Cricetulus griseus: one gene and its partner. The protein of the gene in region 1 interacts with the protein of each later gene in a biochemical or structural test. Links are inferred from orthologs where the notes say so. Each region holds a gene or a part of one and is shown in the gene's direction. Other genes may lie near its edges.

Evidence for each region. The genes of interacting proteins can lie anywhere in the genome.
Region 2: the proteins of Wasl (region 1) and Pfn1 form a complex in vitro, tested with the Homo sapiens proteins (2 studies listed by BioGRID). The link is inferred for Cricetulus griseus from reciprocal best matches to the Homo sapiens genes WASL and PFN1.

Annotation. Positions count from the first base shown.
Region 1 is NW_023276806.1:202,726,833-202,731,771, forward strand, and holds the start of Wasl (neural Wiskott-Aldrich syndrome protein), read left to right. Parts: upstream 1-1,649; 5' UTR 1,650-1,852; coding exon 1,853-1,960; intron 1,961-4,939. UniProt on the Homo sapiens protein: Regulates actin polymerization by stimulating the actin-nucleating activity of the Arp2/3 complex. Involved in various processes, such as mitosis and cytokinesis, via its role in the regulation of actin polymerization.
Region 2 is NC_048600.1:84,463,719-84,468,347, reverse strand, and holds Pfn1 (profilin-1), read left to right. Parts: upstream 1-1,438; 5' UTR 1,439-1,589; coding exon 1,590-1,721; intron 1,722-3,117; coding exon 3,118-3,310; intron 3,311-3,881; coding exon 3,882-3,979; 3' UTR 3,980-4,228; downstream 4,229-4,629. UniProt on the Homo sapiens protein: Binds to actin and affects the structure of the cytoskeleton. At high concentrations, profilin prevents the polymerization of actin, whereas it enhances it at low concentrations. By binding to PIP2, it inhibits the formation of IP3 and DG.

The DNA of each region.
Region 1 (4,939 bases):
ACCAACTGCAGCCTATGTTTTTGGATACTAAAATTCACATCACGGCTGAATCATGTCCCAAGAATTTCTGATGATCTCAGTTGTCACTGTGCTTTGAGTTAATAAGAGGTGTATTTTTAATAAAACATAAACTGACATAAAGTGGTTTGCACCTCTACTTGTGCCTTTTTAAAGCCTAATTATCTTATAGTCTTCGCCACTTTTTTTGTCTTTGCCACTTTTAAAGATTGTCCCCTTAAAATTATGATTTGTTTAATTTGAAATATCTACATATTATGTGAGTACTCCTAAGAGTGTAAGATCTCATCTTCCTTTGTAGACTTCTTCCTGGTCACCTAATTTCACTATGGGGATTGTAGGCAGCCTGAAAACTTTTATATTTTCATTACTTTTGGTAATGGTTTACCAATGCATTGAGAGTTATCATGTCATAAAATTTTAATATGCAAGTGTTTAATTGAAACTGAATGATTGGAGAACATCGTTAGTACAATTTATGTGATAAAGTGTATCCTTAATTATCCTTAATGTGAAGAATGGTGAAATGTACATTTTATATAACTCGATGCAATCTGATTTATCATTTCTATACGCCCAAGTTTTTAAATACTGTTTTTTTTTTTTTAGTTTTCCATTCAACCGTATTATTTTATAATAACTTCTGATATTCTGAAACACAGTCATGAAGAATTCTCCGTATTGACTTGTGCTGGGAATGTAGATCAGTTGGCTGAGTGCACCCCAGGCCTAGGTCCCAGCAACTAGAAAAATTAACTCGAAAGGATAAAACAGGTAAGGCATAATCCTGTACAGGAATTCGAGACTGAGGACGATGGAGAGAGGGTTAGTTTCCAATTCACAAGATAAGAAAAAAAAAAAAAAAAGTGGCATTCGGGGCTCGTCGGAAAATTCGAGTGTAAATACTACACACACTTATCCCACGAGATCCGCCAGGCGGGGGGGGTGGGGTGGTGGACGTCTTTTGAAAGCGGGTCCGATTTTGACATCTATGAAGACGCCTCCCCTGATCCTGGCAAAGGTCTGTTCCTCCGCCCCCGCCCCGCCCCCAGTGGCAGCCTGTCGTGAGTTCGAGAACCGGGGGGCACCTGATGGAGGCTCCGCCCGCAACCACGCTGGCCGACCTTTGCAGCTAATCTAGACCTGCCAGGAGGCCTGAGAGTCCCACTTCGCTAAATGTCAAACCCTGGCCACCACTGGGGCGGGAGGACGCGCGGCCCGGTGCGCGCTGCGGTAAGGCGGTGCGCCGCCGGACTCTGCAGCCCCGCCTCGGTCCGACTCTGCGCACGCGCGAGGCGGCCCCGGTCCGGGCTGAGCGGGTGCGCGGGCCTCCGCTGGCTCCCGGAAGGGGGTGGGGCCTGCGCGGCCACGCCCCGGCTACCAGCAAGCGAGAGGAGGGGTGTCCGGCCGCGCCGCGTTTCCGGCGCGCTCCCCCGCGTCCCGCGTCCCGTGGTCTCGCCCGCCCCCGCTGCCATGTTGGATTGTGCGGCAGCCGCCGCCGCGCCGCCGCCGCAGAGGAGGAGGAGTCGCCGCGTTAGCCGCCGCCGCCGCCGCCGCGCCGCGGAGTGCGAGGACGACGACCATCCGGCCCGAGGCGAGCCGGGCGGGAGCCGGGAGCTTCCCTGTCGGCACGCAGTCCGCGCGCGCTCGCCCGCCGTCGGCTCCTTCCTTCCTTCCTTCCCTCGGCCTCCGCGCAGCGGAGGAGCGGCGGGATGCTGCGCCGCCTGTGAGCGCCGGCCCCGCGCCCCTGTCACCCCGAGCGGGACCGAGTGAGTGAGTGCTCGCCCACCTCCTGAGGAGACAGCCCTGGACGCGGCACCCCGCCGGCGACACCATGAGCTCGGGCCAGCAGCCTCCGCGGAGAGTCACCAACGTGGGCTCCCTGCTGCTCACCCCGCAGGAGAACGAGTCGCTCTTCTCCTTCCTCGGCAAGAAATGTGTGGTCAGTGAGCCGAGCGAGACCCCTGTCGCCACCCACCGCGTCCCCGGGCGGGCTCGGGCCGGGGCACTAGAGAGTTAGGAGGGAGAAGGGGGCGGGCGGGCGCGCGCGGCCGGGGTCCCGCCGCGGGCCAGGCCTCCAGCTCGCTCGCCCGGGCCCGGGTGCTGCCCCGGGTGCAGGCCGCCCTGCCCGGCCCTGCCCGGCCGGGAGCCGCCTCCCTGAGCTACTGGAGAACCAGGGAGTGTCACCTCTGCGGGCCTGCCCAGAAGTCCAAGTCGGGGTCCGCGCCCTTGCTGCAGGTTCAAACTTTACTCTAGACCACAAGGGAATTTTTCTGGGTGCATCAGTAGCTTCATCTCCCAACGGGAGCCCAGCCTTGCTTTACTTCCTACTTGTGGATCTGGGCTGTCTTCGTTAACAATGCTCGGGGCTTTAGGAGTGAATAGATGCGGGGAGGAGGGGAGAAGCGCGCATCGGCTTTATCGATCCCCCCTTTAGGATTCCGTGAGAAGGGTAAAGTGGAGTGCAGGTTCCCGGACACCGGCTCAGAGCGAGGAAGGGGCAGGAAATGCGCCTGCACCCCACTGCAAAGAAGCAGGGCTTATTTCCCCAGCGTTTGCGCCTAGGCCTAGTTTCTGCACTCCGCCCCACTGTTTTTTGTTTTATTTTGGTTTTTTGTTCTTTTTTTTTTTTTTCTTCCTTGCATTGGTAAGAGAGAGTGCTGCTCTCACCGCAGCCATGCATAGAGACGCCGCAGTTTCTACTAGTTCCTGGCCATTGGAGTCAAAAGTGATTCTGAGTTTGGTCCTGTGGGGCCAATCCCAACCCCAGATGGCGGATTGGGAGCGAGTAGTTCTGTGGGAAGGGGGAATGCCTGTTGTTGACGGAGGCATTCACGACTCGCTTCTGGGGCTGGAAGGCTCTCCCTGGTGAAGGCCTTATCTTGGTCTTACTGAGGTGACTCTTGAGTTGAAAGGGGGATTGTTAAAATACTGACTAGTCTCTTGCTAACACCCGCCGAGTGTGTGCCCCTGGAACCCAGGAAACACGCTGAGAAGTTTCAGCTGAGTAGGACCATTTTATATTTTTCCTTAGCAATGTTAGATATGTCAAACCAGACTACACCTGCTTAAGAAGTTAAGAGTAGACAGTTTCTGGAAAGTTACCAGCTTAATTGTTAACTTTATGAGCTTACTTTTTATATCTACTTCTGGACTTAAGATGTATTTCTTGTTCAAAAATTTAGACTTTAAAGAACACCAAGTCTACAACCAGAAGTAGTAAACAGTTTCAAGAAAGAAAGAAAGAAAGCTGGGGAGACAACTTTAAAAATGAAAGAAGTCCTTCCTGGTATATAGTATTTTAAACAAAAGAGAAAGTGGAGCCCTTGGCCCCAAGTCACAGTAATTTAGGAATGTAACTGGAACTCTATGTCTAGTCCCTTTGTACTTTCCACTACAGCATGTTGTTTCTTGAGGATTTTTCCCCCTTAATAATTTGGTTGTCAAAGTGGTGTTAAGGGAATAACTACTTCATTTTTACATAGAATGGATATCATTAAAATGTGAGTTTCTAAAAACAATGTTTTGCATATTTTCAGTTTGGGAAAGTCTCCAGCTTTTTTTTTTTTTTTTTAATGAGCTGCCTGCAAACAGGGCCAACTTTGTTGGTTTATTACATTTAGTGTACAATCTACCAAAAGTTAAGGAGCTTTCTGTGTTCACATACCAGACCCATGAATTCCAGGCATGGAGGACATTGCATGTATGTGCCTAGTGTACTCATTGCTCAGAGCTTAACTGTAGTGTTTACCCAGGGTTTCAAGGAAATGACAGACGTGGGAGTGTATTTTGATAGACAAAGATAGCATGGCTCACTGTAAGCATAAGTAGGTTGCTGAATTGGTTGCAAGCAGTCAGCGATGAATTTCTTTACGTCATATATTATTAATCAACTTTACCTTTTGAATTGTTGTAATTTAAAACCACATTGTTGTTGCCTTCTCTTGTAAGATGAAATTGTGAAAATTAAACTTTGGAGATTTTGGTTCAATCGAGAGCAATGTAAACTCAATGTTTTGGAATAATTTTTATAGACTTAGGCTCCCTTTTTTTTGTTTAAAACAACAGTGAAATGCATTGTCTCATAAATCAAGCAGTAGAGTTACAGGTCAGATCAAATGTAGTAAACTGATACATTCAGAGCTCAGTCTATGAAGTCAAGGCATGAAACTAGTTATACGGTGCCGGATTTTAAGCAAGTTCTTCATCCCTTGTTTCATCAAATAAACATGTATTGAGTAACTGAACGTTGAGGTCAAAAGTCAAGATTGATGCTTGCCCTCGGGGAGTTTAGTGTCTGATGAAGGAAACAACAAATAAACTGATGAATAAGTCAGTACTTAAGAAATAAATATGCAAGAGGCGCCTGTCACAAGCAGGATTCTAGGTCTGTAGTCAGGAGATGTGGGTGTGTAAGCTCAGAGCTTGGCTAAGCCCCTTCACTCTCCTGTTCTGTATTTGCTTTTCCTACCTGTTAGAGTGCTGTCAGATGGAGTGAGCGTGTTGGTTAGGAATATATACAGATGTCTGAAAACCTGTTATAAAAGGATGGGAACTCAGGGAGATGGATGGGAGAGTAGATAAATGAAAGCTTCATAGAATCAGCAATACCTTAATAATATTAACAGGTTGATAAAGGAAGTGCTTGTTAAATTAGGAAGCTTTGTTAGGGAACAGAGGTTTTACCTGCATCTTCACATGTATGTATATTGAAATCATGGTAGAAATTATTAGATGTGTGGTTAGTTGTATAATTTCTTGATAATTACATTTCTTGGTCTGAGGTAGAGCTTGATCTTCTGTTTTTATCAAGTTTTATGGGAAGATTCAAATGTGCACTACAGTTTGCAAGTAGAAGTCCATTTCTGATGGCTAATTCTAGATTTGTCACCTTGGTGACAATAGGCTTTCTTTTGATCGA
Region 2 (4,629 bases), on another chromosome or scaffold:
TTTTCCACCCCGGGGCGGGAGGCGCGCAGGCCGGAGGTCAGGGGATGGCGGGCGTAGAGCGCCGCCACGTGCCCCGGCGCAGCCCCGCCGCCTGTGACTCAGCCACGCGGCTGTCGAAGAACCTGGGCTCGGGGGGCGTGGGAAGCCGAGGTTTTGGGGGTGGACAACAGGGCTCCAGAGACACAGCGAACCAAGTCCTTTCACGGGGGGGGGTCGACAAACCCTGGCGCCCCTCCTCAGAGGGACCGGAAGCGGCCGAGCCCCTCGGCGGCAAGGGTCCCGAGTGACGCACTGACTCCCGCCAGCCACACCGGCTTGCGGTCCTGTCCGCTCCCCGACCCCCCGCCCCACCCCACCCCACCCCACCCCACCCGACCAGCGCTGGGCGGCTAGTGAGCTGAACGCACACAGTACTTGGCAAAAGTTTTACGGGTTTTGGGGAAGAAAAGGCCAATGGGCGCAAAGTAGAAGGGACTTTTCTCCCTTTCTTGTAAAAGTTGCCATCCTGGGTACTTTCGTATTCTTCCGCCTTAAAAAGAGTCCCGCCTGTGTCACCCGGCTGGCGCCCCAGTTCAGTGACCTCCGTGGAGAGGGTTCAGGAGTAGGGCGAGGCTCTGAGCTGGAGCGGATCCAGCGGAGGAGTGATTCCCCTGGAATATAGGGATGCACTCGAATAAGCCCCATGTGCGTCCCCGGCAAACGGTTGGGACAGGTGCCCTGGTTGGGGGGGGGGGGCTTTATCACTGAGACTGACCAGAGTTATATCAAATCTAGTTTTGCTCCCTTTTCGTCTAAATAAAAACTAAGAAGCGGAGAGGGCAGCAGCGCGGCACCCAGGGCCGCTGCCCGCTCCGCCTGGTGGGGACGCGCCTTCCACCCGAGGAAGAGAAGGTCCACATCGGTGGCGGCCGCCGCGCGCTCGCGCAGCCAGCCAGCCGCTAGCCCCAACCGCCCCACGCGCCGTCCCCTCGCCGCCCCGGCGCAGGCGCGGGCGCACGCGCCGCCGCCGCGCCGCGCCCGCCGTTCCTGCCCTCCCGCGGAGGTGTGTGTGTGTGTCTGTGAGGGAATCATTCGTTTTAACCCTGGGTTCCCCGCACCCACTTTTAATTTGCTCAACCTCGCTAATTCCCCTTTTTTCTCTCCCGACTTCCCCCTTTTATGCCGAAGGGGTTTGCATTCAGTATGAACCGGAGCGAACCCCAACCTTAACCTCGCTCCTGCCACCACCACCGCCACCACCACTCCAGCACGGCTTTCCACCGAACTCGGCACATTTTGCAAAAAGGGGGGGGTGGGGAGGGCTTCTTAAAATTGCATTTGCAAAAGTTCGCTATCTGGCCAGGCGGGGGGAGGGCGGGGGGCGGAGGGAGGGAATGGGGAGCAGGCCCCGCCCCGCCGCCCTTTGCAAATAAAAATCTAGGGGGGGGGGAGGAGCAGGAAGTGGCGGTGCGAGGGCTGCTGCACAGCTAACAGAGCCGCGTTCCGGACGGCAGCGCGTGCCCCGAGCTCTCTGCCTCCCCCCGCCCGCCAGCCCGAGCCCAGCCCGCGGCCCCAGCAGCAGCCCGCAGAGCAGCCCCAGCAGCAGCGCCATGGCCGGGTGGAACGCCTACATCGACAGCCTCATGGCGGACGGGACCTGTCAGGACGCGGCCATCGTAGGCTACAAGGACTCGCCCTCCGTCTGGGCCGCCGTCCCCGGGAAGACCTTCGTTAGCATTACGGTACTGCGAGGCTTGTGCGGTCCGGGGCATCGGCCGGGCTCAGACCCTCAGGGAGAGACTTGGGTGGGGGCGGGCGCAGTCTAGCGAGGGCAGCGAGAGGGCCGCGATCTGGTCCTCGGTCTGGAAGCCGCGCGAATGGCGGCTGCATGAATCTAGGTCCCCGTGTCGCCCCCCAAGCCCTACGCCCCTCGGCGGCGGCGCCCATCCCGCCCGCCACCCCGCTTTCTGCGACGGGGCGTTACATCCGGGGCACAGGGCGGGGAGGGGCGCGCCGCCCGGTGCGGCGGCCCACTTCCGCCTCCTCCAGGGCGGGGCAGGCACGCGCTGCAATTTTAGCCTGGGATTATGATTGATAAGGGGGCTTGGGCAGCCTCGGCTCCCCTTTGGGCCGTCTGCTCGCGCTCCCTTGACCATTGTTTCCCTTATGCTGGTGGGAGCTCCAGGCGCGTGGCCTTGGGCCCTTGCCCGACCTCCCTCCGTGAGCTCCCTGCCCCTCCCAACTCCGTTAGAGAGGGCGAGGCCGCCACACACTCACACACACACCCCCAATTCTGCACGTTAGCCTCAACATTCCTGTGAGGCCGATCCCGGAAGTCCCCTCACCCTCCCTTCCCGCCATCCGGCCGGGCCTGGAGTAGGGGAACTTTGTGAGAAGTTCTGAGATGGTAAAAGTGAAGGAGTAAGGTTGCAGCTGTCCCCACCACCACCTTCCCTGGCCACACTGCCCGGAAGTGGGGAGGGGGAGCGGAAGTTCGAATGGGGGGGAAGGGGATTTCCGGGCGGGAGGGTACCGGATATAGGGGTTTGGGGTTTAAGGGGGGAGAAGGAGAAAGGTTCCCCGGGATGTCTAGACTCAAGACAGCCTAATCCTCCAACCCTTAAAACTTTTTCAACTGTCTTAGAAAGCTTCCAGGGGTCGGCTTCCTCATCTTGGGGTGTAGATACCTGGACCTAAACTCTTGGTTACCGGGAGACCCAGGCGTCCGGGCTCCTAACAACGCCTGCAGAACCTTTGACCAAATAAGGACAAAGTTGCTTCTCCTCCTTCCCTGCCCCCTCCCTCACCCTCTCCGCTTCTGCTTTTCCTGAAGGGACTGTTCTGAGCATCCAGATGCTCCTCTCCTGGATCAATGATTGGTTTTTGGTACCCAGGTTTTTCTCCTTTGCTTTCCTATTTCACATCAAGATCTGAGTCTTCAGAGAAATCCTCCTTCCGTGGTCCCATTATCAGGCCTTAGGATCACGATCTTTCTCTGCTCCAACCCCCCCCCCCCAAGTTTTGATGGTGTGTGTGAAGCACATTGATCCCCCAACTCCAGGATAAATAAGTGGGTTCTTGGAAAACAAGTTAGACGGTGCGCTAACTTAATAAGGTGATTGATTCTGATTCTTCTAGCCAGCTGAGGTTGGTGTCCTGGTAGGCAAAGACCGGTCAAGTTTTTTCGTGAATGGGCTGACACTCGGGGGCCAGAAATGTTCTGTGATCCGGGACTCACTGCTGCAGGATGGGGAATTTACAATGGATCTTCGTACCAAGAGCACCGGAGGAGCCCCCACCTTCAATGTTACTGTCACCATGACTGCCAAAAGTGAGTTTCTCAGTTTGACCGGTTCTCTAGTTTTGAACTCCCTGATGTATCTCCTTTTGTTAGTCATTTGGGGTGAAGATTGCAAAACAGTATTATACTTGCAGTCTGCTGGATATGGGAACCTTGGAGAGTCCTTTGGGTTCTGCTGAAGATTCCCCATCTTGTAAAGAAACTAAATTACATTACTTCCTAAATCCCTTCCTGCCTTAAGCTTTTTTGAGATTAGTTTGCTTGGTGTGGATGGTTGAGATCTTAAGTCAGCATTTGGCTCCAGCCTTGAGTTCTGTAAAAGCGAGGTAGAAAGCTCATCCACAGTGGTTCCTAGCCACAGCAGTCTGCAGCCTGTGACCTCTAAATTTTGCCTTTACTTTGCTAGTTCTTTTTTTTTTTTTTTCTCCCCCTCCTTTGAAAAGCTCTATTGTTTTAGGGTGACTGACAGCCTGTCTGTGGGGGGGGGGAGCTGGTTGGGAGGAATGAGGTTAGGTTACAGCCCCTAGGGTTGGACAGCTGCTGAACAGCTGGCAGGGTTGAATTGACACCTGGGTTCTAGCCTCCTTTCTCTTTCCTCCAGCGCTAGTCCTGCTGATGGGCAAAGAAGGTGTCCACGGTGGTTTGATCAACAAGAAATGTTATGAAATGGCCTCCCACCTGCGGCGTTCCCAGTACTGACCTCATCTGTCCCCTCCCCCACCACCCCTTCAGCTTTTGCACCCCTTCTTTCCATACACACACACACACACACCATTATTTTTTGGGCCATTACCCCATTTCCCTTATTGCTGCCAAAACCACATGGGCTGGGGGCTGGGGCTGGACAGACAGATACCTCCCCTTACCCATACCCCCTCCTGTGTGTGTTTGGAAAAAAAATTTGTTTTTGGGTTTTTTTTTTTTTCTTTTTTTCTGAATAAAAAAGATTCTACTAACAAGGTCCTGTGTGGTTTGCACTTGGGGTATTAGAGGACAGACACTGTGGCCCATCTCCACTGAGATTAGCTATTTGTTTTGGCTGTGTCCAGACTGAACTTTTCGTGTTGCTTTGCATTTTTCTGCTTTTTAGCCCCAGGGTCTAAGTAAGCATTCTTCCATGTACCCAGTCTGGTGGCCTAGGCTCCTCTAGAGTGGTGTTTCCATTTCTGTCCCAGTTGAATTTATGTGTAATGGAACACAGCCATCCAGACTAGAGAATGGGTCCAGCCTGAGGGTGAGGCAGGGCCTTTGAGTCATCCTGTGTAGGTGGGGCTCCCCCTCCCTGAGTCATAGCAGATGCAGCTGGGGCTGTCCCCCTGACAAGTTCGTCTCATGAGGTGATTCCTTTT